Canis lupus familiaris: one gene and its partners. The protein of the gene in region 3 purifies or fractionates together with the protein of the main gene of each other region. This does not show direct contact. Links are inferred from orthologs where the notes say so. Each region holds a gene or a part of one and is shown on either strand. Other genes may lie near its edges. The genes, in order: CTNNB1, NBR1, GSK3A, FRAT1, AXIN2, PRUNE1 and GSKIP.

Evidence for each region.
Region 1: the proteins of GSK3A (region 3) and CTNNB1 purify together in Homo sapiens (affinity purification with mass spectrometry; 3 studies listed by BioGRID and IntAct, with this or other methods). This does not show direct contact. The link is inferred for Canis lupus familiaris from reciprocal best matches to the Homo sapiens genes GSK3A and CTNNB1.
Region 2: the proteins of GSK3A (region 3) and NBR1 purify together in Homo sapiens (affinity purification with western blotting; 3 studies listed by BioGRID and IntAct, with this or other methods). This does not show direct contact. The link is inferred for Canis lupus familiaris from reciprocal best matches to the Homo sapiens genes GSK3A and NBR1.
Region 4: the proteins of GSK3A (region 3) and FRAT1 purify together in Homo sapiens (affinity purification with mass spectrometry; 4 studies listed by BioGRID and IntAct, with this or other methods). This does not show direct contact. The link is inferred for Canis lupus familiaris from reciprocal best matches to the Homo sapiens genes GSK3A and FRAT1.
Region 5: the proteins of GSK3A (region 3) and AXIN2 purify together in Homo sapiens (affinity purification with mass spectrometry; 3 studies listed by BioGRID and IntAct, with this or other methods). This does not show direct contact. The link is inferred for Canis lupus familiaris from reciprocal best matches to the Homo sapiens genes GSK3A and AXIN2.
Region 6: the proteins of GSK3A (region 3) and PRUNE1 purify together in Homo sapiens (affinity purification with mass spectrometry; 3 studies listed by BioGRID and IntAct, with this or other methods). This does not show direct contact. The link is inferred for Canis lupus familiaris from reciprocal best matches to the Homo sapiens genes GSK3A and PRUNE1.
Region 7: the proteins of GSK3A (region 3) and GSKIP purify together in Homo sapiens (affinity purification with mass spectrometry; 7 studies listed by BioGRID and IntAct, with this or other methods). This does not show direct contact. The link is inferred for Canis lupus familiaris from reciprocal best matches to the Homo sapiens genes GSK3A and GSKIP.

What each region holds. Positions count from the first base shown.
Region 1 is NC_049244.1:10,788,690-10,793,328, reverse strand, and holds the start of CTNNB1 (catenin beta-1), read right to left. Parts: upstream 2,957-4,639; 5' UTR 2,915-2,956; coding exon 2,902-2,914; intron 2,471-2,901; coding exon 2,243-2,470; intron 2,041-2,242; coding exon 1,787-2,040; intron 1,663-1,786; coding exon 1,424-1,662; intron 1,336-1,423; coding exon 1,134-1,335; intron 1-1,133. UniProt on the Homo sapiens protein: Key downstream component of the canonical Wnt signaling pathway.
Region 2 is NC_049230.1:19,803,874-19,808,070, forward strand, and holds part of NBR1 (next to BRCA1 gene 1 protein), read right to left. Parts: intron 3,079-4,197; coding exon 2,673-3,078; intron 1,839-2,672; coding exon 1,744-1,838; intron 1,079-1,743; coding exon 1,021-1,078; intron 182-1,020; coding exon 73-181; intron 1-72. UniProt on the Homo sapiens protein: Ubiquitin-binding autophagy adapter that participates in different processes including host defense or intracellular homeostasis.
Region 3 is NC_049222.1:112,856,793-112,861,650, reverse strand, and holds the start of GSK3A (glycogen synthase kinase-3 alpha), read right to left. Parts: upstream 3,198-4,858; coding exon 2,915-3,197; intron 1,001-2,914; coding exon 813-1,000; intron 1-812. UniProt on the Homo sapiens protein: Constitutively active protein kinase that acts as a negative regulator in the hormonal control of glucose homeostasis, Wnt signaling and regulation of transcription factors and microtubules, by phosphorylating and inactivating glycogen synthase (GYS1 or GYS2), CTNNB1/beta-catenin, APC and AXIN1.
Region 4 is NC_049249.1:10,818,153-10,822,210, forward strand, and holds FRAT1 (proto-oncogene FRAT1), read left to right. Parts: upstream 1-1,762; 5' UTR 1,763-1,805; coding exon 1,806-2,651; 3' UTR 2,652-3,187; downstream 3,188-4,058. UniProt on the Homo sapiens protein: Positively regulates the Wnt signaling pathway by stabilizing beta-catenin through the association with GSK-3. May play a role in tumor progression and collaborate with PIM1 and MYC in lymphomagenesis.
Region 5 is NC_049230.1:12,339,434-12,343,630, forward strand, and holds part of AXIN2 (axin-2), read right to left. Parts: intron 4,047-4,197; coding exon 3,813-4,046; intron 3,273-3,812; coding exon 3,177-3,272; intron 1,944-3,176; coding exon 1,776-1,943; intron 628-1,775; exon of another isoform or gene 1-627. UniProt on the Homo sapiens protein: Inhibitor of the Wnt signaling pathway. Down-regulates beta-catenin. Probably facilitate the phosphorylation of beta-catenin and APC by GSK3B.
Region 6 is NC_049238.1:60,761,110-60,765,741, reverse strand, and holds the start of PRUNE1 (exopolyphosphatase PRUNE1), read right to left. Parts: upstream 3,168-4,632; 5' UTR 3,162-3,167; coding exon 2,841-3,161; intron 1-2,840. UniProt on the Homo sapiens protein: Phosphodiesterase (PDE) that has higher activity toward cAMP than cGMP, as substrate. Plays a role in cell proliferation, migration and differentiation, and acts as a negative regulator of NME1. Plays a role in the regulation of neurogenesis.
Region 7 is NC_049229.1:65,458,898-65,462,162, reverse strand, and holds the end of GSKIP (GSK3B-interacting protein), read right to left. Parts: intron 2,541-3,265; coding exon 2,385-2,540; 3' UTR 630-2,384; downstream 1-629. UniProt on the Homo sapiens protein: A-kinase anchoring protein for GSK3B and PKA that regulates or facilitates their kinase activity towards their targets.

The DNA of each region.
Region 1 (4,639 bases), on a different chromosome or scaffold from region 3:
TGTGTATATAATATTGTTAGTCTTGGAATATTCACCATATGCCCAAGAAAAGCCACACTACTTGGAACATTCACCATATGCCCAAGAAAAGCCACATTACCAACCCATTTTTATCATACAAGAATTTCAGCCAGCTTGCCATTGACCTAAATATATCCCTGAACCCCATTACCCCAGATTCCCATACTGGGACCACGTTTAGCCCCTCTTACACCATTCCACTCAAATTCAGGCATCCCAGTACTCCCAAGAATATCTCAACTTTTCCCCAATATTCTTCCTCTCACACTGATCAGAACAAAAGAAACAGAAACCATGTTGGTATGCAACAGTACTGTCCATATATCAATGGTATATCAAAGCAGATTTCTTGAAAATTTGAGCCAGAACAGGTGCTTAGAACTCCTAATGATTTGGCTCTTGGCTTTTCCTAATCATTATTCACCTACTTAAAATGAAGTATCATAAAATAATTACTCATTCTTGCCCTTTACTTTCCTGCAGACCCCTACTTCCAAACTATCCTGATTTTCTAAAAACAAATCTCCTCACTTCATGCCTCTGCTGATACTGAACTGCTTTCCATTACTTTTTAAAAACATATTCTACAAGGCCCTGAAGGACCTTCCCTGCTAATCTCAATACTCTCATCTCAAACCTTTCCTCTTCTTTACTCTGTAAATTCATCCCTCTCCTCTCTCAGTAGGACTTTCAAAGGTGTCAATTCCTCTCTCTCACCTTCACCTAGTCAGTCTTTCCTCATCCTTGTGAACTGAACTCCACTATCACTTCCTTCCACTGGTCTCTCTAAACCTTCCAAGCAGGGTGTGGTTCACGTATATGCTATCACAGCCCCTCTACTTCTTCCAGATACATGAATTAAATAGTAATTAGGTTATTATCTCTAATTAGTGCCTATCTTCCACCTAAGTATGAAAGCTCTAAGTATGCCCACTATATCCTTATCACCTAGCCTTATATAAACAAATATTTAAAGAAAAAGAGATGTCCAGCTTTTTTTCTAGGATACACACAAAGGGTGAGGCATACAAAGAATGTGCAAGAGTCCACAGAAGGACATGACACTGGATTCCCCAATGCTCCATGAGCCATACTCAGAAAAATTCTTTTACCTTGCTTTCTTGATTCCCGTAAGCTAAAATCTGAAGGCAGTCTGTTGTAATAGCCAAGAATTTAACATTTGTTTTGTTGAGCAAGGCAACCATTTTCTGCAGTCCACCAGCTAAACGCACTGCCATTTTAGCTCCTTCTTGATGTAATAAAAGGTTGTGGAGAGTTGTAATGGCATAAAATAATACAGAATCCACTGGTGAACTGGGAAGAAAAAAAAAGCCTCATCAGAAAGGCTGTGATGGCACCCTTCTCCTCCTTAGCTTCAAGCATCCTAACCATGTTTTCTTACCCAAGCATCTTCACCAGGGCAGGAATGCCCCCAGACTTAAAGATGGCCAGCAAGCCCTCACGATGATGAGAAAGATTGTGCAAGGTCCCAGCAGTACAGCGAGCTGTTTCCACATCATTTGTATTCTGCATGGTGCGTACAATAGCAGACACCATCTGAGGAGAACGCATGATGGCGTGTCTGGAAGCTTCCTTTTTAGAAAGCTGATGGACCATAACTGCAGCCTTATTAACCACCACCTATAATGTATAGGAATTAAGAGACAGAATTATGATTTTCAAATACTGATACCGGATAAACATTCTGAGGCTCCTTGAGAGTTTCCTTTAAAGCAGATTAAAAGCTAGCCATGTCCTTACTTACCTGGTCCTCATCATTTAGCAGTTTTGTCAGTTCAGGGATTGCACGTGTGGCAAGTTCTGCATCATCTTGATAGTTAATCAAATTTACAACTGCATGTTTCAGCATCTGTGATGGTTCAGCCAAACGCTGGACATTAGTAGGATGAGCAGCATCGAACTGTGTAGATGGGATCTGCATGCCTTCATCTAATGTCTCAGGGAACATAGCAGCCCGCACCCTCTGAGCTCGAGTCATTGCATACTGACCATCAATATCTGGAAAAAATAAATTCAACACTCACTGTCCATAATTCAGCATTCACCTGAATTTGTGCTACCCTAAGTGGTAAAGGTAACATTACAATCACTCCATGTTTTCTTTACCACACCATTTTATTTAAGCTATTACATACTAACTTTTTAAAGAATCATTCTTAAAATTGCCTTCTAACTTTTATTAAGGCAATAAAATACTTACCAGCTACTTGTTCTTGAGTGAAGGATTGAGAAAAGCCCTGTTCCCACTCATACAGGACTTGGGTGGTATCCACATCTTCTTCCTCGGGATTGCCTTTACCACTGAGAGAAGGAGCTGTGGTAGTGGCACCAGAATGGATTCCAGAATCCAGGTAAGACTGTTGCTGCCAGTGACTAACAGCTGCTTTTCTGTCTGGCTCCATGGCCATGTCCAGCTCCATCAAATCAGCTATAAAAATCAAACAATATTAGCATTACCACCATGGAGATGTTATATTCATTAAAATATCTGTGATGACCCATTGAAATATTGTTAGAAATAGTCAAATCTGAAAGTCAGCCAAGAATAAACAACGATAGCCAGGATTAGCTCAGTGATGAAATATCTATACTCTTAAGGGACCACCTAACAGTTACTCACTGAATTAGTGGAAGAATGGTACTGCATCCAGGCTCCAGAAGCAGTCATCCAGACTAGATTCCTGCTGGTGGCTTGTTTGCTATTTCACCAAGCCATTAGGAGGAGTGAGCAGAAAATGGAGCAAAAGGTAGCCTGACAAGTAAGCAGGGAGAGAGTAAAGCAGGGGGATCTGAGCCAGACTGGGTTAATGGCAATGAAGCAGAGCCCCGATTCAGTAACTAAAGACTTTTGATACAAACCTTGGGTAGCCATTCCCCACACAGGATTTTCAAAACCGTTGTATGGTGTGCTTCAGGTACCCTAAAAGAGTTAATCAAGTCATTAGGATTTAAAATTAGTTTTTAGTACTTTTAAGTCACTAGGATGACCTGCTAAACATCATGGATTATATCCACAAAAAGCCCCCAAATCCCCCTTTACCATGTGAGAGTGAAAGCCAGACTCCATGGTCTCCTTAATACACTCCCCACAGCTCCACCACTGCTGAACCTCTTTTAGTAAACACCTCTTTTTAGGTAGAAATACAAATTACAGTTATTCAGGATGTCAGAAAGCTTAATTATTGTTGAGGAGGAAGAAAATTTATAGTGAAAGCCAAGGTAGGAAATAACTCCTCGAATTCCCAAAATACCTCTCCCCTCTCTTTTTAACTTCTTTCACTGAAAAATTCAGAGATCTTTCTGGTGAGACTGGACATGGACTTTAAAAAAAAACTAGATTTTCACTAATGGTTTTTCTTTCCTGATAGAATACAAAGACATCTAAAATACAAAGTAGGTTTTGCTGACTGGATCAGAACACTGGGTTTGAGATCTGTTACTAACTAAAATTACTTTTCAAATGTAAATCTGCAACACAATAATCACCCTTTTAGTAAAATCTGTCTAGTTCAAATTTATAGTATGGATGTATTATAAATACAACTATTACCGACCAGAATGCTGTTTTGATCATTACAAAAAATATATATATATTACAAAAGTACTATATATATAAATACATAATTTATATATATGTAAATCCTAGCATCTATGTTTACATTTTGGCCTCACTGTGTAATAGGAAAACACTGAATCACATGGGAAACTACTTGCAAATTAGAACTGTGGGTCTTGTAAAGGCTCACAACCACCAGATATTCCTAATAATAACATTTCCTTTATCACAAAGTATTCCCGTAAACAAGTTCATCTTACACTACAACTTAACATATTGGTTTACCAATATGTAAAGATATGGACTAAAATATTTAAGCATGAAGTGAGTACTCTATCCATGTAAAAAGGAGTTTAAATGTTTAAAGAAGTTGGAAACTACACTCTGAAGTCCTATGTGCTCTATGTAAAGGAAGCATGTGTTAATTATTCCTAAAATTGCTCTTGCAGTACTAGATTTTTATAGCCACAAAGGTCACTTGATATGTAAAGATAACAAGAGTTATGGATACAATTGTTTAGTGTCCACAGTAGAAACACAACTGATGATCTTTTTTTACATGACAAAATGAAGGTCAGAAAATAATAAAGGTGATTCCTGTCAATAAGAATCTTTTAAGATACCAAGTGGGATTACGTGTTTAACGTTTTGATTCAACAGGACTAGAGTGGGGCATAGAAACCTAAATTTTTAATGAAGATTTCTACAGACCACACTTTAAGAAATACCCATGTTCTCTACTCACTGAAGCTGCATTTTAGCTTTTATTTTTCCACCTCTCTGGAAACTGAGAGCTCCACTCCAGCTCCCAGGTATATTTCCCGGAAAGGCGACTTAAAAAAAATATGTTCTATCTTGGGCTCCTCCTTTGGCTAATGCCACCGGGCTCAGAAACCAGTCACTATGATATACATACAAAATATGCATTACTCAACTGTTTATGTTATTGGTAAGGCTTCTGGTCAACAGTCAGCTATCAGTTAAGTTTTTGGCAAGTAAAAAGTTACACGCAGATTTCAGACTGTGCAGGGGTTGTGCCCC
Region 2 (4,197 bases), on a different chromosome or scaffold from region 3:
CCAACCCAGACAGGGAGCATCATTGTCACTGGTGACGTGGCTTTGGTACAGGAAAAGAAAACATACACTGACCTGGGCAGTGACTGGTGGCCCAGCAAACAAGGCCTTATACGCAGAAGCAGCAACAGATAAAGCCCCCTTCACCAGTCCTCCAGCAATGCTGCTCCCATGGTGGTGGTGCCTGGGGAGGAAAACCACATTATTTCCCTAAAAACCACAAACCATTATCTTCCTACAAGATAATCTGGGCTCTAATCCTTGAAAGAAAATGGATTTCCCTGGGGTGTGACCCCGGGAGAATGTGACCGTTTTTCTAGTAGTTTTACAGCTACGAACCTTGGTTAGATGTGGAGCTCAGCTCTACTGCTGCAAAATAAGGGCATACAGAAAACACACCCCCTCTGGTGAGTATACCAGCTTTCTGTCCCAGCTGAAAACTATGTGGTCAAGGGCACAGAGGGGGTATTTAGCAGTCTGCTCAGTTAACCATCTTAGAGGATATACCCCCAAAGGAAATGTGATTTTCTGGGCACTGTAGTGAGGGAGGAGTCCATCTTACCAGTGATCTGAGATGACTGGGAGCAGTGAGGCAGGTGTGTCTAAGAAACTGTTACTAAGATGCACAGTGGGCTTGACCTTCCTGCCTTCTCTTTTGGTACTAAGGTGAGCTGAATTTGAGAACACTGGTCTGGAATATGGAAACTTTTTCTTTCCCCAAAGATTTTATTTTTTTAAGTAATCTCTACACCCAATGTGGGGCTCAAACTCATAACCCAAGATCAAGAGTTACATGCTCTACAGACTGAGTCAGCCAGGTATCCTGGAATGTGAACACTCTTAAATGTAACTGTAGCCCTCTGTTCAGTGTTGCTCACAAGCATCAGAAGAAATAAGAACAAGAAGGAATGATGGCTCTCCTTTGCCCTCTGGAGGTGGCACATGCTTTGAGAAGCTTATTTAAGCAGAAGCAGTATTAGGATATCCACCTGCTTCTGAAGAGGCTGCACAAGGTCCAGTTACCTTGAGTGGTCATAGCTCTTCTGTCTGCTGTTTACAAGTCCTGATGAGCCTCTGGGCTCTAAAAGCAAAAGAGCTATTGGTTAGAAGCAGCATCCACAAGTGCCTACTGTTTCTAACTCAGAGTGAAGCTAGTTTTGAGAGGCAAGCAGCAATCTGATCACAGCACTTAGTCTTTTTTTGGGGGTCGGATTTTGCAAGTGGCTTTAAGTGATAAGAAAGAACTCTCCAGAATGCGATGCAAGGTGACTATTTATTGAGCCAGAAAAACTTGGTCTAAAATCTTATCAACCCATTTATTAGTTTCAAAATACTTTTGGGGTTTTGTTTTTGTGATTAAGAGTGGGAAGTGACTTTGAAGGTTTACTAACAACTTCAAGGTGCTATTCTCCTTAATTTGGAGATAAGAAAACACCCCTGTAGGTTTTATGACTGTGCTGAACTGCTTCAAGGTCACACAGTGTGGAAAGGTGGAGCTGGGCCTGAAACCTAGACTAGTCTAGCACCACAGTCTGTGTTCTTTCCACTGTAGCACAATGCCCACCTCTGTGAGGTCTCATTTAATAAATATTAAGCTGGAGAACAGAAAAGGAGGGAGGGCCACAGAAAAAAGCAAGGGCAGGTTTCTGAATAATGCCAAGAATCACAAAGACACAATGCCTATTTATGCCTGGTGTCATCAGACAGGAGCACAGAAAAAGACATCAAGTGCAGGCTGGTCATTACCTCCTCTGATCTGATCAGGGACTGAAGAAACTTCTGGTATGATAACAGGTAAATCCACTCCCGGGGAACCATCAGGCTGTGCACAAGGAGAGCTCCTTTCAGAAAGACACAATATTGAAAGTCAGTTGAAAAGGCACCTATGGGAACACTGGAGAAACAGTGCACGTGGCACAGCAGTACCAGATTCTCTATAAAGGCTTCACTTTTCTGATCCAGATCTCATGTCTGAGGTAGGGATCAGGTAGAAAGGGCTCACTCTACTGGTTTTCCTTTTCAGTCATAGTCAACCTGGAGAGAGACCAGCTTCAGTTGGGTGGCTCCACGCCTACATCAAGTGGTACTAATAAAGGGAAATGTTTAGCTCCCCGAGAGTGGTTTAAATCCTAGTTAAGGCTCCACCATCTGCCATGCCACAACAGAGCAATGACACACACAAATTGATAATGAAAAATAATTGTACTCTCATTTTAGAATATATGTATTTTTTATAATAGATTAAACATCCTATTATACTTTGGGTTAACAAGAAAATATATTTTTGCTGTCTTTATCCATGCGTCAATAGAGTGGGGAAGGAAGGTCCAGGGATGTATTTCAAAACTGGCTCTCTTAGATCCAGGGTTTCAACAGCAAAAGAAAAAAAAAAACAAAAAAAACAAAAACCCTAAAACAAACCAAACCAAACACTGGCTCTCAACAATCAAAACAGAAGTAGACAGACTATACAAAGATAATTAAGAATAAGCACAGCTTTAAATTCAGGATCCACAAATTCTGGGAAATACAACTTTTATTCATCTAAATTCAGACTTTCCTATGGGAAATAATCCCTTCCCATTCTGACAAACAAAACAGGTTCTGACATCAAGTTGTTTCCTCTCTATTCCACCTGTAAAGAAGAGCCCAGCTGAGTGGGGTGTGGATGGTACCTGGACAGTTGTGGTGGAGGCCCCACCACCTCTGGGGTCAGAGGTACTGTGTCCAGAGTCTGTGAGGTCATGAGGATGTCATTGATGCTCTGCCCCTGCAACTGGTTCTCCCCTTCAGCAAGCCTCTCCCCAGCCTCAATCCCAGGTTCACCTTCAGCCCCTCGCTCTAGGCCTGGCTGTGAGAGTGCAGAGCTGTACATGGAGTCGCCCAGGGGACGACTAGTGTCAAAGCACTCGGGCAGGATGATGATGTAATCCTCTGAAGAAGTAGAGGACTGACTCTGAACTTCATCTTTGAGCTCATCCTCCTCTTCCTCCTCCTCCTCCACGACAACTTCTTTGGTGTAATGGACAACATCCTCCTGTTCATCTCCAAGTGGTCCCTCTTCAGGGGAAGCAGATTTCACTAGAGGATGAGAGCAATCAATTTTCAGCTATAAGCTACAATCATGAAAGCCAGAGTAGAGGGATGGCCAGAGGGAAGGGCTGCTGCTAGAACCACTTGTGGCCACATTAAAAGTCTGAAGCCTAAGCAAAGCCAGAAAGAACCAAGCTCACAAGGTACAGAGAAACACCAAGGCCTCTGAGAAGCACCATGAATCTTAAAAACAAATCAAAACTGATACATTAGCTAATAGAGCTATAACAAGAGAAAACATTAAGTGGTTAGTACCACAGGGCTATACGCTTACTTTCCTCCTTTTCTTTGCAAAGTAACGGATAGTCATGGCAGAAAATTGGCAAAGTGAGGATGAGGGAATAAAGAGATATCTATAATCCTTTCAGAGATAACTACCGTGAACATTTTTTGTTATGCATATGTACATAAGCGTGTGTGTGTGTATGAGAAATGAATGTATGTGTGGGGGAAAGGAGTGTGTGTATTTTCAACAAAAGTGAGACAAATATAGTATTTAAAGGTATAGATAAAATTTCATTATAATAAACATAAACTTTCCCACATTATTTTGATGAACTAGAATTTGAATTTTCAGATAGTTCTTGAAATACACAGTATGGGCTCTACCTATCTTATATCTAGATATTTCTGTTATAGGGCAGCCCAGGTGGCTCAGCGGTTTAGCGCTGCCTTTGGCCTGGGGCACGATCCTGGAGACCTGGGATCAAGTCCCACGTTGGACTCCCTGCATGGAGCCTGCTTCTCCCTCTGCCTGTGTCTCTGCCTCTCTCTCTCTCATCTTTGTGTATTCTCATGAATAAATAAATAAAATCTTAAAAAAAAAAATTCTGTTGTAAAGGAAATTGACTACAGCAGAATTAATTAATTAAAGATTTTACTTATTTATTCGTAAGTCAGAGAGACAGAGACAGGCAATACATAGGCAGAGGGAGAAGCAGGCTCCCTATGGGGAGCTCAATACAGGACACAATCCCAGGATCCCAGGATCATGCCCTGAGCTGAAGGCAGATGTGCAACTACTGAGTCACCCAGCCGCCCTGACTTTGGCAGAATTTAACCTTGGGAAACTTAGTTTATTTTTTTATTTTTAAAATTTTTTTATTT
Region 3 (4,858 bases):
TTCTCTGTCCCCCTGAGAACTCCTGCCCTCAGATCCCTCTCACCTCTGGTACTCAACACTAATCAAATTCTGACCCACACCCTGGAGCTCCTCCTGCGAGGGCAAGGAGGGGTTCTCCCTGCCAAGGTCCAGGCCGAGACCTGGTTCCCTCCCAGCCTAGGGTCAGTTCATTCATATCCAGACTAGCCTAAGCTCTAAAATGCCAGTCCTCGCAACACCGATCAGCCCTCAACTTCCACCTCCCCCATGTCCTCCTTGTTCCCTGGGCCTCCACTAGGTTACAGGGCACAGCTGTGTGAAGGAGGAATGGGGGACAGATCTCCCCACCACGGCATGTGGTTTGGTGAGTGTGGGGCAGGCTGCATTTCACCCTGCACTTGGCCAAGCACCTGGGTCAGGGCATGACCTTCACAAACACGCTCATCACCTCCACCAGCTTCCTGCCCGCTCTGTGCAGAAGGGTAGCTTTGTGCGTGAAGTGGAAGGCTTCGGAATCAGGCAAGCCAGAGTCTAGTCTTGCCCTCAAGTCAACTCTCTTCTACGAGTCTCAGTCTTAAGACACCGATACCTACCCTCAAACGATCTTTACGGGAGTTAGATAAGAACTTGCCCTTGTTACAAAGCACTTCACGCCAATCCAAAAGCCAGTAAACACCATCCTGGGCTCTCTGGGAACCCGCATGCCTATCTTCCACACAATTCACTCCCTTCTCTTTCCCTACTCTGGCCCATGTTCAGGTCCCCTGTGGAAAGCCAATTCCAGCCCTCTCGCCTATCACACCTGGTTACACCTCCTTGTCCCCACTTGCTACCTTGAACCTTTTGTCCTGGAGAACCTTCTTGATGGCCACCAGTTCCCTGGTCTCAGCCAGCCGTGCCTGGTACACGACCCCAAATGAGCCATTGCCAATCACTTTGATGTCTGTGTAAGCCACCTCCTGGGAGCGCTCCGGGCCTTGGCCTAGAGTGGCTACCACTGTGGTCACCTTCCCGCTGTCACCTGGGGAACAAAGGGGACACACAATCCACTGACCATCCCCCTTGCCACCACCCAATCATAGGGCTGTGGGAAGGAGGGGAATCACTACAAGGTGCTTACTAGGGGCCTCCTCATCCCCTCATCTTGGAGCAAAGATGGGTGTCAGATGCCTCCAGGTGTACTTTCTCCTTTTCCCTCCAGGGAATGCTAAATCCTGCCTCTTCTTCTGTGGGAGGACACTGACATCTAAACCTCTTGCTGTTCAAGCGTTGATAAGCTGTAATTTCTATGCCTGATAAGCAGCAAATCACTGGTCCCTCTTGGTTCGAGGGCAGCCTCACACTTGCAGATGTTGACTCCATCGACTCAGAGCTTACTGCCTGCTGGGGCCCCCTCCTGCCTGGGGAAAGCCTGACCCAATCTCTTCCATTTAATACAGCAGCAACCCTAAGGTACTTTGACTTTCAGCAAGCACTAGTTTTTGTCACAGCTTGGGGAACAGTGACCTCTAAGTCCTCATTGGTAGAGCTGGTAACTGCCACTGGTTTTCGGTGGCAGAAAGGACTCCTTCAGACTTAAGTGCCAGTGCCAGGACTCTCACTTTTTGGGGAGAGCTAGCCCGTCCCAAATACTTTGGGGTTAGAAAAAGTGCTGACATGACCTCCTCATCTGTGTGACCCAGAGCCCTAGACCCTTTCATGTATTTGGAGGGGTCCCCAGTGGGCAAGTACTAAGTTCTGAGAATGGCGAATCTGACCTCCGTTAACCAGGGGCTAGCCAAGCCTCGGTCCTCCAAAGGAAAGCTGTAACCCCTAGCTCCATTCTCCAAACAGCAGCAAACTTTTGTGGCGTTCTTAGAGAAAAGTGGCCCCTTTACTTTGGGGAACCATCAGACCCCAAAGAAAAGGAGTCACTGATGAATCAAACCCATTTTGAGGGGGCAGTGACACCTTTTGGAAAGAGATGATCCTACACAGCTGTTCTTCCACAGCCAGTGACACCACACCTCAGAACATGGGTTTAACCTCAGATCCATATCCTATGGGGAACTATGACCCTCCCCTGACCCTGTTTCATTTTTGTGGAAGAAGACCCACCACTATAAGTTTTTCATTTTCCTTGGTGTTTTGGGTTTGTTGTTTTTTTTTATTTTTTTTTTATTAAGCAAATTCTACCCTCAATGTAGAGCTCGAACTCACAACCCTGAGATCCAGAGTTGCATGCTCTACCGACTGAACCAGCCAGGCGCCCCAAGCCAAGCTTTCAAAAGAACACTGACTACAGACTTGGTCTGCAGAATACAATGATTCCTAGTTTGTCCTTATTTCTAAGAAGCAACAATCATTAATTTCTACCACCGGGGATACAGTTTTACCTGTTACAGATGGGGTGATGGTAACTGATCTTGCGTTTTAAAAGGAAAGACTGCCTGGGTACCAGGTTTGGGAAGCCCTGGCCCAATCCTTCCCGGCCAGAGTGACCCCTAAACCATTTCCATGTGATATTCACTCCAAATCCCCATCCTCTAGAGGGGAGCAAATTCAGACCCCCCTCTTCTGAGGTGATGGTAATCTCATTCTTTTTGGGAACAATAACTCTCTAGCCCCATTTGCAAGTGATGACTCCTGATCCTGTTGTCTAATGGATGGCAACATCAGATTCCTGTTTTTGAGGCTTAAGGATCCAAGCCCTAGGCATCGGAAGAACAGGAACCTGTGACCCCTGTTTTGTGGAGAATTACTAAATCTAATCCTAAACTCCAATTGATGGTGACCCCTCAAATCCCTTTCTCTGGGAGGGGGAGACCTCAGATCCCATCTTTGGGAAGCACACTGAGCTGGAGCTCCTATCTGGGCATACTGAAGAACCTGATCGACGTCTGAAGGGCTTCAGGAACCCAGATCTCCACCCCCCACGGACGCTGCTAATACTCACGGCCCAGCTTCACTCCCGGCGGCGGGAAGCTAGTGCCCGCACCCGGGCCGCCGCTGCCTCCTCCGCCGCTGCCGGTGGGGCCGCCCCCGGAGCTCGAGGCCCCCACGCCCCCACCCATGGCTCCGACTGACGCCTTCCCACCGCCGCTGCCGCCCGGGCCGGAGGCCGAGCCCCCGGGGCCGCCGCCGCCGCCGCCGCCTCCGCCGCCTGGCTCCGCGAACGAGCTGGTCCGCGCCCGGCCCGAGCCCCCAGGGCCGCCCCCTGAAGGCGCGCCGCCGCTCATGGCGCCGAGCGCAGGCCCAGGCCGCGGGGCTCGGGCTGCCCGGGCTGCCCCCGCCGCCGCCGCTGCCGCCGCCTCCCCCGGGCTCTGGCCTCTTCCAGGCCGCGCCGCTCGGGCTCCGGCTCCGGCCCAGCGCCCGCCGCGGGGCACGCCGGGAGATGCAGTCCGCCTGCCCTACGCGCCGCCGTCGCCGCCCTCGGTCGGCACAGAGAACCGCGGGGCACGCCGGGAAATGGAGTCTGCAAAGGCTTCAGAGCTGACCGCGGGGGATGACGGGTCGCGCTGCTCGTCAGGAAATAGAGTCCTAGGCAATAAGTCGGCCGACTGTGTAGACGGCGGACCCTCAAGTACTTTGAGAAGTGGAGTCAGAGTCACACACTCGCTCCACTGCAGCAACTGCGAGCGCTAGATGTGCTTCAGAAATGCAGTTGAAGCCACTCTTTTCGGAGAGCTTTGTAGTCCTGATGCACGCCGGGAAACGGAGTCCAGACGCTCATTTAGTCTATTGGTTGTGTATGCCGGTCAGCGCCAGGTGCACTGTGGGAAATTGAGTCGGCGCCGGTGCATCCGCAGATATCAGGCCGTGAAGCAAGCCGGGAAATGGAGTCGTCGCCACGCCCTCACCGCATTGCAGGTGTACCGCGACTGCCAAAGTACGCCGGGAAATGGAGTCCCATGTGCTCCCCAAGCCCCAAGTGGACACTGCTATTACGGAGATAGGCTAGGAAATAGAATAGGTAGGTACGGCGTTCCTCTGCCCTCTTATGGTGGGTCGCAGTTCCTGCCGGGAAATGTAGTCGACACCAACGCTTCGGAGTAGTTGCCACAGTGAGCCTTTGTGTCTTCTGGGAAATGGAGTTCAAGGCAGACTCATTTGACTGAGGGGGAGGGATCTACCAGGAGCCCGAAGAATGCTGGGTAATAGTCCAGACCGGATCCTAACCCTTTGAGACGAGACTGCAGAGGCTCGCTGGGAAGTGTAGTCCAATCGGTACATTTGGGAAAGCGTGAGCCAAATGTGGAAGACGTCAATCCCCTGGGAAGATTGCAGTGTTCAACGCCTCCTTACCCTCCTCAGACCCCAAGAAAAAGCTGAAGTTGGTCAGGGGCTGCGGTAAAATGGAGCCCAAACATTCCAAATTCCAAGTTTCCACAAATCAGGAAGGAAAAACCCTCCCTCAAACAATTTGGGGAACAAAGTTCCCGGTGGTCTCTCAGAACAATAGTCTTCTAGCTTTTTCTACCGACGCGGGTTCACCAAGAGGCTGAGACGAGCATTAAAGCAGGTGAAAAAATTTCCGTTTTGCATCTCCTTTCAGCCTTTTGCGTACTCCCGCCTTCTAAGTTTACAGGATCCAGGAGGGCCCAAAACAAGGAAGCCGGCTAAGAGTAGCCTCGGGTTTTGTGCACGGACTAGGTCGCCCTATTTATCGATTAATAACCGGAAAGACTAATTTCAAAGGACCCTGGGAAATGAAGTTCGTGCGAGGGAGCGTGTGTGTGTGTGTGTGTGTGTGTGTGCGCGCGCCGGAAATATTTGGAACTAGAATGAAATCATCCTCGGCCCCTCCTATCCCCTAGAATAATGGGAAATGGAGTCTCTAGACGTTCACTTTAATCTGAGTCTATGTTCATACTGTCTTGCCCTTTCTGAAGCCTGAAGT
Region 4 (4,058 bases), on a different chromosome or scaffold from region 3:
GCTACTCAGAGGTTTAGTGCCGCCTTCGGCCCAAGGTGTGATCCTGGAGACCCTGAATCGAGTCCCACGTCAGGCTCCCTGCATGGAAGCCTGCCTCTCCCTCTGCCTGGGTCTCTGCCTCTCTCTCCATGTGTCTCTCATGAATAAATAAATAAAATCTTAAAAAAATATATTCAAAAATAAATAAATAAATAAATAAATAAATAAATAAATAAATAAATAAATAAAGTAGCTCCCTACAGCCTGGTTTCTGTATTTGTGTGTATACGCATCCCATCATGGCTAGTTTTAAAAACAGCTTTATGGACATATAATTTTATATATGAAATTCATTCATTTTAAGAGAACATTCAATAATTTTCAGTAAATTTACTAAGTTATTCAATCATCACCATAATCCGGTTTTGAATATTTTTCTTAGCCTGCTAATATATCTCCCCTGGTTGGCTCTTAAAGACTGGGCCACCAAAAGTCCATCTACAAGTGTAGAGTTTGAAAGTGAGGTCTGATTGGAGATTTTTAAAGAAGGTTTTATTTATTCATTCATGAGACACACAGAGACATAGGCAGAGGGAGAAGCAAGCAGGCTCCCTGAAGGGAGCAAGATGTGGGACTCCATCTGGGAACTCCGGGATCACACCCTGAGCTGAAGGGAGACGCTCAACCACCGAGCCACTCAGGCGTCACTGATTTGGGATTTCTGAATAAGTCTAATACCTCCAGGCAACAAGACAGTAAGGGATCATTTTTCCATCCCTCTTCCTTTAAAAAAAAAAAAAAAAAAAGTCTTGGTTAATCATTAAGCCAACCATGATATCTTGAAGAGTTAAACGGATCCATATCTCCATTACCATCCAAACAACTCGTTTTCCTCTCCTGCTTCCCCTTCAGAGAAGACACTCCCCAGCTGCTGAGGCATTCTTAAAAGAACTTTCTAGCTCAGCTCACACCCCGCCCAAGACCAACGACCTCCTCCTCTCCAGGAAGGCCAGCCCTAGTCCAGGCCCGCATATACCCATGCTCCGGGTCAAGAAGCATTCATCGGGCCTTTCCCTGCCAATTCTAACGCTGCCACCGCTTCCCCACGCCCCGACCCCATCCAACTACGAGGTCCCGGTCTTCCTTTCCGTCCCTGTCAGCCTTGTTTCCCTAATCTCCGGACCGATCCCTAGCCTCAGATCTCCGCCCGCGCCTCGCTCGCCGGGGCAGCCCTTCCCAGACGCTGGCACCCGGACCTCCAAAGTGCAAATGCCAAAACCAGACGAGTTGACGCGCCTAGAGGAGGAGAGTGTGTGGGTGTAAGTGTCTGTGCTGGTGTGTGGAAGAAACCAACCGCGTCCACGCGGGTGTTCATTTTCGGGAAATGCCAACCACGCCCGGCTGACAGAGCGACGATCCGCACCCCCGCGCCCCCCTGCACGCAGCACTCGGGGTGGGGCAGCTCGGAAGCTGCTGGGCTTCACCCTGCGCCCCGGCCGGGAGGGCGCCCCGCCCCCAGCCGTACCCCGCCCCCCCGGCCCGGCGCGGTGGTAGGGCCCGGCCGCGACGTCACCCATTGTTTACAAATCAACCCGAGCCGGTAGGATTCCGGCTCCCGCTGCTGCAGGCGCGCGGCGCGAGTGCCTGGCGGGCTCCGGCTTCCGCGTCCGCCCCGGCCCGGCCCGGCCCGGCCCCGGCCCCGGCCTCGCCCCCGCGTCGGCCCCCGCCCCGCGCCCCGCGCCCCGCGCCCCGCGGCCCTCCGAGCCCCGCCGGCCGCCGAGCCGCCAGCGCCGGCCGCACAGCGCCGGGTGCCCGGGCGGGGGGCCATGCCGTGCCGGAGGGAGGAGGAAGAGGAAGCCGGCGAGGAAGCGGAGGGGGAGGCGGAGGAGGAGGAGGAGGACAGCTTCCTCCTGCTGGAGCAGTCGGTGACGCTGGGCGGCTCGGGCGAGGTGGACCTGCTGGTGGCCCAGATCGGCGAGACGCTGCAGCTGGACGCGGCGCAGGACAGCCCGGCCTCCCCGTGCGCGCCCCCGGGGCCGCCGCCGCAGCCCCCGCGGCCCCCGGCGGCCGTGCGGGCGGACAAGGCCCGGCCCCCCGCGCTGCCGCTGCTTCTGCCGCCCGCGCCGGCCGAGGCGGTGGGCCCGGCGCCCCCGGGGGCCCTGCGCTGCGCCCTCGGGGACCGCGGCCGCGTGCGGGGTCGGGCTGCGCCCTACTTCGTGGCCGAGCTCGCCGCGGGCCCCAGCGCGTTGTCGCCGCTGGCCCCTCAGCCCGGCCTTGACGGGCCCTCGGGAGCGGACAAGCGGGCCGCCCCGCAGCCGCTGTCGGGCCCGTGCCGGCGGGGGTGGCTGCGGGGCGCCGCCGCCTCCCGCCGCCTCCAGCAGCGACGCGGGCCCCAGCCCGAATCCCGCACCGGCGACGACGACCCGCACCGGCTCCTGCAGCAGCTGGTGCTCTCGGGGAACCTCATCAAGGAGGCGGTGCGGAGGCTTCATTCGCGACGGCTGCAGATACACGCAAAGCTTCCCCAGCGCCCGCTCTCCGGGCCGCTGTCGGCCCCGGTGCATGAGCCCCCGTCTCCCCGCAGCCCTCGGGCGGCCTGCAGCTTCTCCGGCGCGTCCGGGAGGAGGGCGCAGCCCCGAACTGGCGACGGCGTTCCTGTCCCTGGCAGCTAACGCCCCGGGAGTGGCCACAGCGCCAGCCTCTGCCTGGAGGGCAGGGGAGCCCCCAGAGGGCTACATCCCTACTCGGACGGACTGGTGAACTCGCGTTTTGGAAGCGGGAAAATAAGCTAATGCAGACGAGGAATGGAAAAACCGCGAATGTTTTCGCGGGGAACTAATGGAGGGCCCCCGATGCGTTTGAGAAACAGAAGAACTTGGGTGCCCTGTTTGAGGCAGATTACCGAGCGCACCCCAAGCTCACATCCAGTGGTACTCCCCGTTCGGCGTGGCCAGCCCCCGCGGTGCAGCGAGCAGATCCACGCAGCCGAGCCAGTGGGACCCTCCAGCCCAGCGGCCATGTGGCCACGTTCCACGCGTCTCTGGATCGCGCGCGCCCAAAGGACGAGGGTGACCCCAGTTACTGGCTTTACCTTTTCAGGGCTGGTTCCTGATCCACTTTGGGGGAGGGGAACATGAGTCAGACCATCATTTCAGGGAGAACCTCAAACTGCCAGACTTGAAAAATTTACGACTCTTTAAAAAACCCATCTTGTGTCTTGTGGGTGCTGGTTCTTAACGCAAAACACGCGGTGCCATCAAAGGACCTTTTTTGGGAGTTGAATGGGAGTAAGGTTCGCGCTGCCCCCGCTGTGCGACGGGGGGCGGGGGCGGCTGCGCGCCGGCGAGGGGAGGCGGGGGCGGCGGTGCCGCGGCGCGGGGAGGTGGGAGTCGGCGAAGTCTTCCTCTCTGGGAGATTTTCCCTGCGTCCCCCTCCTCGGGTTCAAGGTCAGGGTTCCCCCAGCGCCCGCGGGGGTGCGGGGCTCCCGTAGAGCGGAAGAGTTGCCGGGTTCCGCCTGTGCCCGGGAGAAGCGCCCGGTGCTGTGCAAGTGCTGGAGTCTCCTAAGGACGCGCGCCCCGCGGCCGCCGCCGCTGCGGGCCGAGGGGGACGTGCCGGGCCGGTGCCCACCGCGGCCCGCCGCGCCCCGGGCTTTCAGAAAGTGCCCCGAGCCTCAGCCTGGGTCGGGCCGCCCCCGCCCCCGCCCCCACCTCCCCGCCTCGGCTCGGCTCGGCTCGGCGGTCCCACTCCAAGCGGGTGGCGCTGGCGCTCCTTGGGGCCCGGGCTGGGGGCTGGGGAGACGCCACGTGACGGGCCCTCCGGGGACACAGCCTCGCACAGCAGCTTATAATGGACTCTCCGGGGCCATTTGCAATAACAGCTGCAATTCCCTGGATACACGGAGTTGGTTTCCTCCCTCCGCCCCTCCCCCAGCCATGCCCGCTCGCCTTTGTAAGTGAAGGAAACCGAGTAGAAAATGTGACCCTCCAAACGGAGAAGCTGCAGGCTTTGCCATTGTGAGCCGTGGTGAAGTGCGTTTAGCATACTTTTCACTTACTCTTGAGGGATCTAAATCCGTTTTG
Region 5 (4,197 bases), on a different chromosome or scaffold from region 3:
CTTTATGTGGCAAACTTTGCTTTCTTCTGACATCTGGCACCAATAGCGTCTGGCACGTCTGGAGAGACTGTTCTCCTTTTGAACCTCTGCCATGTTGAGATTACTCAGTGCAGCCCAGGTCCCCCCACTCGGCGGCCCCATCCTCGCCGGGCTTTTTATTGGGAGGGTGGGGGGGGGGCGCTGCAGGACGGGAGCACCACCCCTGCTGGGAGGGCCAGGCAGGGCACCCGGTGCCTCCACGAGCCAGGAGGGCAAGGGGTCCAGCTCCGGCCGGAGAGCCAGGCCAGGGAGATAAGGCGGCCGGGAAGGGTCTGGCCACAGCCTGATCCAATCAGTAAAGAATTTGAGAGTCAACCATTTGTGCAAGTCTTTGTGCGTTAAAAGGGAGGCCGGGGCTTCAAAGCCAGGCTTATTAAGTGCGCCTTAGGAAAAAAAAAAAAAAAATCAGAGCCAGATGTGGCCGGAGTGGCTGAGCGCGAAGCCTCCCCGGTAGCCTCTGCTCGGCGCTCCATGGCCCTGCTCCCCTGAAGGTCACCTGCAGTTCCACTCAAAGTCCAGCCGAGTCAGAGCTGAGATCAAAATGAATCCCTGGAGGGGCACACTTGTGTAATTAGTTTCACCTTGTGTCTGTTCAAGATAAAAAAAAAAAGAAAAAGAGGAAGAAGAGGAAGAAGCAGCAGCCAGGCCTGCTCCCCAATCCCTTGGATACATTTTCCTGAATTGTCTCTGCCCTGGTGTCAGATGGAAAGATCTAGAGCCCAGCTCCACACCCAGCTCTCCTCAGTCCCTTACAGGATCCTCAGCCCCGAACCCCATCGTTTCCCAGCAAAAGGAATCCCTCTGGGCCCCTGCCCCCAAGCAGCTGCCAGGACCAGGGGCTCCGGAAGCTGGTGCCCTCCTGGCCGGGGGCTGAGTGCCAAGCAGCTTCTCCACGCCCACCTCCGGCTCCCGGTGGGATGGGCTGGCACCTTCTGAGCACATACTGGACCCCTCCCTGAAGTGTGTGCCCAGCACCTTGATGCCCCTGGCCTGCCCACGTATTCCCTTGGGACGATGGCCACGGAGAAGGGGCAGTGACGACTCTAGATGAACGGAGGTGGGGTCATCACCCACCCCCCATTAAGGAGAAGGGAACCCAGGAATGGGCCCTGCTCTTGAGTCCTCTCTGGGGCCCTCGAAGGCCCCCAGAAGGGGAAGGGGGGCTGGAGGGAGGTGAGTGCCCATCCTCCTCTGCTACGGATAGAAGAGCTCTCCGGCTTCACGTGAGCCGTTCACCACGGCGAGGCAGTTCTGTGGGCAGGAGGGCTGCGGGCGAGGGAGGAGAGGCGGTCTCTGCTTCCAGGCAGTGGCCTCTGCCCTTCCCCACGCTGGCTGTGTGGACGATCTCTCCTACACCCGAGCTTCCTCATCGTCTGTCTGTCCCTCCCCGACACACATACGGCCCTCTCCCTTTTGGGAAGGGCCTCTGCAAGATGGCCCCAGCCCAGCTCTCCTGGCCGAGCTCTGTGCCCTCAGAGTCTCATTCACCTGGTAGAAAAAGCCCATCCAGGTCCCCACAGAGCCCTCCCAGGGCCTCCCTGCTGCTGCTGCTGTGTTATTTCTGTCAGTGGTGAGGGGAGAGAGGAAATGAGAAGGAGCACAAGCGCCAGGCAGCCCCACGGCTGCCCCGAGCGCCTCCTGAGCCCCTCCCGGGTCCGCCAGGCCAGCGACGCGACTCTGGCTCTTGCTTCTGAGCAAACAAACTCTGGAGCAGCGAGAAGCCGCAGGGCTCTTACCTATAATTTCCCTTTTTGCTGAGCTGCTCTTTAAAGTGGCCCAGGGTCAAGCTCTGAGCCTTCAGCATCCTCCTGTATGGAATTTCTTCTCCACAGAAAAAGTATGTGACGACCAACTCGCTGGCCTGGAGCGCGTGGACCCCCGCCAGCTTCTTTGGCTCTTTGTGACTGAGAAATAAGATGGAATGCAACAAGTTTTAGCATTTGCAGGCAGCAAGTGCACACACGACGCACACACGCACAAGCACGGGCTCTCGAACACGTTCTCCGCAGGGAAAGGGCTGCAGCTAGATGCTCAAAGGGGCCTGGGTGCAGGGCCCCCCATCACAGGGGCCACCGCCTCGGTGGCACACAGCCCCGGGCACCCAGGAAGGGACAATGTCCTTTGGGCTGTACACGGCTGCTACTGTCCCCCTCACGACCACCAAATGGGGGGCCGGAAGATGGGTGCGGAATAGTCTCTTTCAGGATAGCACAACCAGGGTGCCTGCCAGTGAAGACGAGGAGGGAAGCTGTCACAGAGAACGTGGGTTCACTCAGCCCAACTGGGGAATGCTGCAGAGGCAAACCCAGACCGGCTCCCGAGACGGCATGGATGCCAGAGCCCACTGGGAGGGTCGGCCCTATCATTCTGACCTCCCTCGTTTATTCTTCAAGTTTGCAGAGTGGCTTTACAAAAAAAAAAAAAAAAGCTGCAGGCCTGGACAGCTGGTACACCTAAGGTCAACCAACGAAAAGGGTGGTGGCTCATTCACGGGCTGCAAACATGGCTCATTGCCCAAGATGAACAAGCTAAGGAAGAAAACTTCAATTATTTAGACCATGTTAGACTCCCATGGCCCATTTCTTTCTGAACGCACCCTCCCATAATTAAACGAAGCCAGGCTACTTGGTCGGCAGGAATGTAAACTTATGGGAAGAATCATGGCACAACTGGTGAAGACACTCCATTACCCCCAAGCAAAACAATAACTGTTCTCTATGTCTGCGATGGTGGAGAATCATCTTCTGGCTCCCTGCGACGAGACATTTCCGACCCAGTAGCGTGCAAGCTGAGTGAGGGCAACTTTTGCATCCGGGCCTGGGGACCCCTCTAATCCATGTGCTAATGGCTTCACGTCTCCGCTTCTGCTCAGTGTGTGCCCAGGCACCCCGAGCCACCCGTCACTTCAGGGAACAACGCCTGTGTACGAGTCACAACACGTTGCCCCGTACAGGCAGGGTTTTCAAGGTCCTAATTTATGGCCACATCTGCATTCACCAGCCCGTGTTGCTACTGTTAAAACCAAGGTGATTTTATATGCTAGAAAAAGTTCTCCAAAATCTCAATGCCAGGGAGTCAAGACCCTGAAACACACGCCCCCTCGGGGGCCCTCAGCCACGTCAGGTGAAGACACTCACTCTTCTGAAGCCAGGCCTGGGTTGGAGAAGGGCGTGGCTCCTGTCTGACCAGTGGCCGAGTGGTTCCTGTCCCTCTGCTGACTGGCTGCACAGCACCTGAGGACAGAGTCGGAGCAGAGGACCGAGAATGAGCCTGCTGTCCCCGGGCAAGCGGGGAGCAGACGGGAAAGCTGTCCTCTGCAGGCCCGAGCTGTAGGCCCGACTTCCATCCCCGGGGAACGCCATCCTGAGCCCCCGGGGAGCCCAGAATGGGGCAGGATGACACCAGCCCAGACAAAGGGCTGAGGCTCTAGATTCTCCATCAGCCGTGGCTTCTTATGTGCCAGCCCTGCGTGATGGTGATGGGGGCATTTGTCAGGGATGGGATTTGTAAGGAACTACCACAATTCATCCTCTTTCTGGGCCTGACCTGCCTAACGGACAGATCCTGGACAGCTCTTCAGAGCAAACAGAAGTTAAAGGAACAATTTCTAGCAGGTGGGAAGGAGACCGGTATGTGGCCAGAAGCCATCCCTCCTCCCTGAGGAGCAACTGAGATGCAGGCCAAGAGGGCCCCTTCCCTTGTGCTACAGGCCAGGGCTCCCCCTCCAGACCCAACCTCTGCCTTCCCGTCTGTGCTGTGCTGCTGCTACTCACCGCTGCTTTGGGGGCTTGGACACCTCGGCCAGCCGGCGGCAGGCCTCCTCCAGCTGTGCCAGCGTGTTGGGCGGGGTCAGGGGAGGCATGGCGGGGTCCTGGGTGAACGGGTGGGCTCGGGGGGCGGCACGGGGGTGCCCGTTGCTACCCCCCAGCAGGTGGTGCCGGCCAGCTCGCTCGGCTGGGGACGCACGGGCCGACTCCAAGGGGTAAGCCTTCTTTGTGCTTTGGGCACTGAACATGGAGCAAGAGAGAAAGCAGAAGGAAAGAAACTGGGTTAGAAAAACTGGAAAATGTGACCTCAGTAGAAACTTCTCTATCCTGCCTTCAAAGAGAAGAGAAAAAAAATGACCCTACCATCACACGGACAGGGGGCGTTGCCAAA
Region 6 (4,632 bases), on a different chromosome or scaffold from region 3:
TTACTTTGTTATGGGATTTGGGCCTAAGATTCATCTTTTGTTTTAAAAATGATAATACTGGGACACCTGGGTGGCTCAGCGGTTAAGCATCTGCCTTCAGCTCAGGGAGTGATCCTGGAGTCCCGGGATGGAGTCCCACATCGGGCTCCCTGCAGGGAGCCTGCTTCTCCCTCTGCCTGTGTCTCTGCCTCTCTCTGTGTGTCTCTCATGAATAAATAAATAAATTTTTTTTAAAAAAAGGAAAAACATATGTAACTCTTAACACCCCATCTCTACCCTATCCTCTACCAGCTGACAGCACAAGCCAAACAGCCTCACTTTTCTGACCATGAGAGGAAGAGCTGAGGGCAGATATAGCTATACTTAGAACATGAGGAAACCTGAGCTGCCAATCCAAGAAATACAATCTGAAAGCCCCATGTAAATACAAACTTTTCTTCCTAACAAATAAAACACCCAAACCCACAAGTCACAATGACTGTATTCTGATGTTCTTTCTGGCCTCAATGCGGGGAGTGAGGATGGGCTCTAAGGCTGGAAAAGGCACCCACTTTCCTTCTGAAGCTGAATACAGTCTAGTGGCCTACTCTACAAAATAGTTAATAAGGGAGGGAAAAAAAAAAGAGAGGGGGCAGCCCGGGTGGCTCAGCAGTTTGGTGCCTCCTTCGGCCCGGGGCCCTATCCTGGAGACCTGGGATCGAGTCCCACGCTGGGCTCCCTGAGCAGAGCCTGCTTCTCCCTCTGCCTGTGTGTGTGTGTGTCTCTGTGTCTCTCATGAATGGATGGATAAAATCTTAAGAAAAAAAAAAAAAAAAAAGAGAGAGAGAGAGAAATAGACAGGGAGCCAGAGACAGAGTTCTCCCAGCACAATGGTACAGATACTGACGAAAGGACTGTAATGTCTGAAGGACAGCAGCCACTCCTGATTCCTGCCTTCCGATTCCTGCCTTATGTGTTGAGCAGTGCAGACAACAGATTATCCGAAGGCCGCTGGATGAATACTACACTAGATTGCAGCTCCACCCTGAAGCAAAGGTTTTTCCCTACTAGAATTAAAAGATGAGTTACCATGAATAGGACATTTAGTTAAACAGGATTTCTTTTAAATGGAACATCCTACTATCGTTATGGCAGAGGCTGTAAAAAATTTCTCTGGTATCAGATGCCAGAGAAAAAATATGCTATCAACAGGACAGTTGGTGGGTTATAAGCTGTCTTTCTCCCATGTAAAAGTCAAGCATTCACATTTCCCAAAGAGTTAACCTAACGGAAACACCCAAACTTTAAATAGAATCTCTGGCTAAATCATGTCTTTCTTTACCAAAAAACAACAGTGAGGCCTCTGGGGAACTGGATGGGGAGTAGAAAAAAAGATCTTGTTCTTTTTCATTTCACATCTCTCTTGTATTTAAATTTTTTCACTGTATGCATTTACTATTCTATAATTAAAAGCTATCTAGGGACACCTGGGTGGCTCAGCGGTAAAGCGTCTGTCTGCCTTTGGCTCGAGGCGTGATCCTGGGATCCCGGATGAGTCCCACATCGGGCTCCTTGCATGGAGCCTGCTTCTCTCTCTGCCTATGTCTCTGTCTCTCTCTGTCTCTGAAATACATCTTTAAAATAATAATAATAATAATAAAACCTATTTAAATTATTGGCGACCACCTGTGTGTCCTGCCACCAGTTCCTCCACTAACATTCTGTGAGTCCGATTTTTTCATTTCTTCCAGCCCTGGCCAAGTTGTGTAATAATAACTCTAAGATACAACCTCACCTTCACAAGTTCGGAAAAACAAAGACCTAGATCTTGCTCCTTGGGGATGAAGCAGGCAAAAAAAGGTCAGGATTCCAGCAATACTGGAAAAACCCAGTATTCTTCAGCTCCATATTGCTGTAGAAGATAGTTAACCCGGGGGAACTCTAAAGCATAGATGTTGAAGGATAGATGCATGCAATAAAAGGCTATTTGGTGAGGTTTCCATCCAAATGGTGGAAAGGAGGCCTGTAGTTTGCGTTACTGTGGAGGCAAACATTTCACCTGCTTAGCACTTGGAGTGCCATAAAGATTCTACCTTAGTCCTCCAATGAGCTCCATGTGGTGGAAATCAGATGTAACCAAATGAATTGCTTCCAAATCGCCCTATGCATTAAATCAACTTTCCCAAAAGGAAAAATCTAGTGCAATTAGTATTAAACTTGTCTTTTGTCCCTATACTTCAGGTGAGGACAGTCATTTACGCCAGCAGCGGAGTGGGCAGTAGGAAACAGGTAATTTCTAGGATTTTGTCAAAGACCAGAATCTATCCGCCAGGGGAATGTGCAGAGTTTAAGACACTTCAAAGAAAGCACCTGTCAGCCATCTGTCTAGGTCTCCATATGGGCAGTGTAACTTGAAGTAGGGGAGCCAGGTGACCTCCTGGAGCCTCTCTCTGGTCAGCTCTTAGCTGCTAACTGGGAACAGCAGCCTGATGCGGCCTGACGGGTGGTCAACTCAGCTGGGAGATTCCAACCAGCTCAGAGTACCAAAAATAAGCCACAAAGCATTCAGGAGTCAAGCTTATAGCTTTGATTCCAAACACACTTTGTTTAGCCCTCCCAGGCGGGGGGGTTTCTTATGTAATTTATGTGAGTTAAGGCCACAGAAGAAAACTGGAGGCAAAGGAATGCAAGTTTTTGGTCAACAACAGATCTGCCTGAGGCACTGAGCACGTTTAGCTTAAAAACAGATTTAAAGTCAAACCACGATTCTCTCATCTAGAATGAGCTCGGCCCGCCAGACAGAAACAGCTCTTCTGAGGCTTAATCCGTGGGCACAGGCTCCCTAGTACCCCGGGACTCACCTGGAGGCCTGCCGGCCGCGGAGGCCCCCGCGAGTGGGCGGAAAGAGGAAGGGGGGCACGACTGGCGACGGCACAGCCCTTCACCGCTCCACGGAACGGAGCCGGGCAACAGCGAGCAGAGGCTGGGATGCAGGTCCTCCTCCCAGCCCTTGGGGAGACCCCAAAGACGGGGGCCAAAAGCCGGGAGACTGAGCAGCACTCCCCAAGGCTAGGTTCTCCTTCCTCGGTCCTCTGGCCCCAACCCGATGTGGTCCCAAGCCCGCTCCCCACACACCATCCGGGCTCCCCGGATCCCACATCTTCGCTCCTCCTGGACCTCATGCTCCATTCCTTACAGCCACAGCCCGGGATTCGTTACCTGCAGAGCGGCTCGACAACCCTGCAGGTAGTCCTCCATGGTGAAGTCCCAGGTGTGCCACCGCCCCTGGCCGTGGAGAGGTTACCCGGCGGACGCGCCCCGCTCGGGACTCAGGGGCTCGGGGCGAAAGTCAGGAGGCGGGACTCGAACCCGCCACACCGCGACTCATTTCCCCAGCCCCCGGAGGAAGTGCGTAATCCGGGGCTCCTGGAATCGGACGTCGCCCCGCCCCCGACGGCGGGGGCGGAGCTCTGCGCCCGGAGACTCACGGGACCCGGGAGGCGCGCAGTGGGGCGTGGCGGAGGGCGTCCTGGGAAACGTAGTCCGGCAGCTCCGAAATGGCTGTAAGAATCGAGGAGAGAATAATTTTCCGAGATTACTCATTTGACAGAGAAATGTATATGTGTCACAGTAACCTGCGTTGGTGGCATCTCTCGAGTCGGGCTAAGTATAGCATCTTTCCATAGATTACATCGAGCATCTGGCTGGCATCTTAAATTACACAAGGCAAAAACAGCTTAGCCTGCCTTTCTCGAATTCTCCCCTTTACCAAACGGACCCACTGCCGCCAATTTTCTGCTGTCCGTGTTATAAAAACATTAGAATCACCTTCGACCCCTCTTCTTCACCTAATACCTACGGCCTCTTGCCGACTCCTGCTGCTACTTTACCGCCCAGTAGCCCGTCTGTCTACAGCCTTGGCAAATGCCTCCTCATGGACGGTTGTAACCTGGGGTTTTTGCTCCCTGCCTCCCTAATTGCTCAAACTGCCCTTTCAGCCTTCAGAGCTGCTTGAAGTTTCATCCTGCAGTAGCCTTGTAAGTCAAGGGAGGAGGGCCCTTCAGAATGTGGAGCTGGGTTCCAGCCTCCCCTAACTGCCACCTTCCAGCCCCATGGTGGTGTAGGGTGCTGCCAATACGTGAACTGATCATCAAATGCCCCTCCCTTACCGACCCTCCCTGGATTTCTTACTGCCAGCTTTTCCTGCTCTCCCCTCCCCACGCCCACCCCAGAAGTTGAAAGGAGGTGAGGCCTGTGTTGGGACAGAGGACCAGAGCCCAGGGGTATTAGATCTCCTGCTTGCTCGGCTAGTTCTCTCCTTGTCTTCCCAGAGTCTGGGGAGTCGTGTAGAGGACCTCCAGGGGCACAGCCCAACCAGGTCCATTTCTAAGGGGAAAAAAAAAAAAAAAAAAAGATACATAAAGGCTTAGAAAATAGCAGAATTTCTTTTTACTTTAAATGAATAAATATGCAAATATCGTGCTCTTTGGCACTGCTTCTGTGGGTCCAGACCAAAGGCCTGCCATATCCACGGAGAAAGCTCAAATCCAACCAGCTGCTGCTGTCCAGCCCTGCTCCTCCCCACGCTCCGCAAGGGCACTTGCTCTTCCCTCTTCTCACCAGAGAGGCACAAGCGCTCCGTCCCTTTCAGAG
Region 7 (3,265 bases), on a different chromosome or scaffold from region 3:
CCTAGTGAGAGCTACTACTAACATTGTAGATTTTCCAGGAATAGATCATAGTTTTATATCCTTTTCTAAATCATGCAGTGTATTTTCCTATTGCCATTTTTTCATGATTTTTTAATGGCTGCATATTTTTCCATCAAGAGCACATGATGTGCTTTTTAGAGCCTTTCCAACTCTCCATTAAAGAAAATGAATATTCTTGTAGTGTATCTTCTGCTGAATCTTTTCTCCATGCTAGATTGCTAGGATATTACCAGTACAGAAGTTACAAGCTTTGTAAAGGCTCTATTACCCAATATTTTCTGGAAAGGTTTCATTGAATGCCCCTCACTAAATCCTTATTGATATCATTATATTTAAATAACGAAGATTATTAAGTTGTTAGGTTAAATACAGAGCTAAACTCTTTTCCTTTCTTGAATTACTGGTCAGGTTGAATATCTTTCAAGTGGTTACTGGACATCCATACATTTTTTTTCAAGTTGTTTGATTATATTACATGCCCACTGTTCTTGTTTTCTTATTGACTTGTAAGAGTTACTTATTTAGAGGCTTTTTCTTTTTTTCCCCTTTTGGAAGTGACATCAATGATTAATTTATCTGATTAAATTCTTTAAACAAGCTAGATGAAATGGAAGTTTCAGTATCTGTATAGTTTTATTAATGTCTTTTCACTCTGTTCCTCTTTCATAATGATAAAAAGAGCAAATCACTTCACAGCAAAATGTAACCATACAGAATTCAAAAATGGACATGGAAGCTCCTGGAACCAGTCATTTATCACAAAATGAACAAAGTCAATTTTTGAATGTACAATCACTTTTCTTCATACTTAACTCGAAATGAGTAAACAGAATTTTATTCGAACTTTACAAATATCCTTTACATTTATTTAGCCTGAGATTAAGCGTGAGAAAATCTGACCTGCAGTTAGATATCACTGCCCAAACAGTTAGCATCTGAAAATAAAGCTGCAAATGGACATGCATTTACCAAACACAAATAAATCATCCTGATGGACTCTGACAATGAATACTGACCCAAACCGAACTTCAATGTGGTTCTACATGATCTTCGGAGCCCAAAAGTGTCTATTACTAAATAATGATTAAAAAAAAAAAAGTCTGCAAATGACAAATTATGAAGGTGTGTCCCAATGCAGAATTTTACTTCAACATTTCTACAGCTGCTGCTTTAGTAGTACTACTAAAAAATCGACTCCCCAATCCTTAGTATTCAATATGTACTTGAAAACATGTAGCAGCATGGTACGATTCATTTTTATAAATATTAGTACCTGTAATAAAATATAAAAAGAGAGTCTCCCTTTTTCAAATATCAAGTCTCTGAATGCTTCATTCATCCTTTGGTTTCAAACCCATACAATGCAGGCATATTACATTGTAGATTTAGCTTTGAGAAAGAATACTGTGCATCTGTTGGGGAGGGAGGGGTGCTAGGGAATACCAAAGCACTACAGTATAGAAAGGAAACATTGAAGCAAAAATACTTTCTGAATATATACTGTACATCATGTAAACAAACATTCATAATAAGAATCAACACAGGCCAAAATATTGTTTTCTGGGAATTCAGAATCTTCTTCCTTTTGAATCACACACACACTGAAGATGATTTTTGTTAAGAAAAATGGTGCCTGTTCCTATATTTGCTTATGTGCTTAAATATCTTGGAAACAATTATTACATTCATTTGCTAACGGTTTGTCCTCTTAGTTGGCTGGCTGTTGCAAACAAGGAATACAGAACTATTATTTCAGTACCTGTTTTCCATTTAATACTAGCTAAGTAATATATATAATTAATTCATCTTTATCAGTCCCTATTAGTAATATAAATAGATTAAGTGAAGCAGTGAATTTCAAAATTTGTGCAGGGGAAACTAGTTGATAATTTGTTTCCAATAAGGCTAGTAGCAAAATAATTACTACAAAGTCAGTCCAAGCTAGTAGTAAACCCCTGATTTAGCAAGCTGAATCCATGTAGGTCATTTTAATTCCTGTTATATTACTGTGCAAATCTAGAATTTCCTATGTAAAAGAGAGTGCTGGTAGCATCAAAATCCTGTAATAACAGAATGAAATACTGATTAGGTTTTGAAATGCAGAGCTACTATATGAAGAAATCTGAATGTCTTAACGACAGTATCACAGCAATGGCCTCAGGATTCCCTTAAGGAATCCGAAACTAAGAAAGACAATTCATTAGTCAGTAATGTTCTGAGGCAGAAGCCTAAATTTGAAGCAAGGAATGGACATAAAACCAAAAATGCGTTTTCTACTATGACCATATGCAAGTATTTCAAGCTTTATGTCAACATTTTGTACCAGCAGCAGCCCCCTCTAGAAGGAAACAGCTTGGTCACGACTATCCATCCCTCTTCAAAGCTTCCAGTCTTTGAAGGAGTGCGTTTCCAAATGCTTCCCGGTAGGCAGGGCTGAGTGTATCCAGCAACGAGTAGACAGTTTCATGATAGGGAGTGTGTAAGTGATCATCCACTTGGTCAAAAGCATAACCTACCACCTACAAGAGAAATGCAACAGTGGATCAAATAACTAGATTTAACTTGGTACAGAAAACAAAAATGTGTTTACTGGGGCCATTCTTCAATGACTCAATTTCTCAATCAATAGAATATGCATATTTCTTTTTTTTTAAGATTTATTTATTTATTTGATAGAGAGAAAGAGAGAGATATCACAAGCAGAGGGAGTGGCAGAGGGAGAGGCATGCCCCTATCTGAGCAGGAAGCCTGATGTGGGGCTTATGACCTGAGCCAAAGGCAGATGCTCAACCCACTGAGCCATCCAGGCACCCTGACTAAGTGTATTTCTAAGCAGTCTGAAACTTAAAGGAACATCATAAACAAAATGCCCTCTTTATCATCTTTTTCTCAAAATGTAAAAGGTTTAATTTACCTACTCCTGAACCTAAAAAGGGATGTCAGAAGAAATGTCAGAAGGAATGTAAAAGCCTACACAGAACAGGTATTTCATTTTCATAGACTGAAATGTGCTTCTATTTATTCCCACACCTACTGAGGACCAACCATACAAAGGCACCAGAACAGATGCTATATTATCAGTCCATATTTTTATTATTTATTTAAACTCTATAAGACTCTATAGGACTCTATAAGAGTCCTAAAAACTGCTTATAGTTTCAATCCTGCTTTACAATTAGTTACATTACTAATTCAACATTACTAACACATTACTTATCTGACAGGGAAACAAATGCTCAACTCT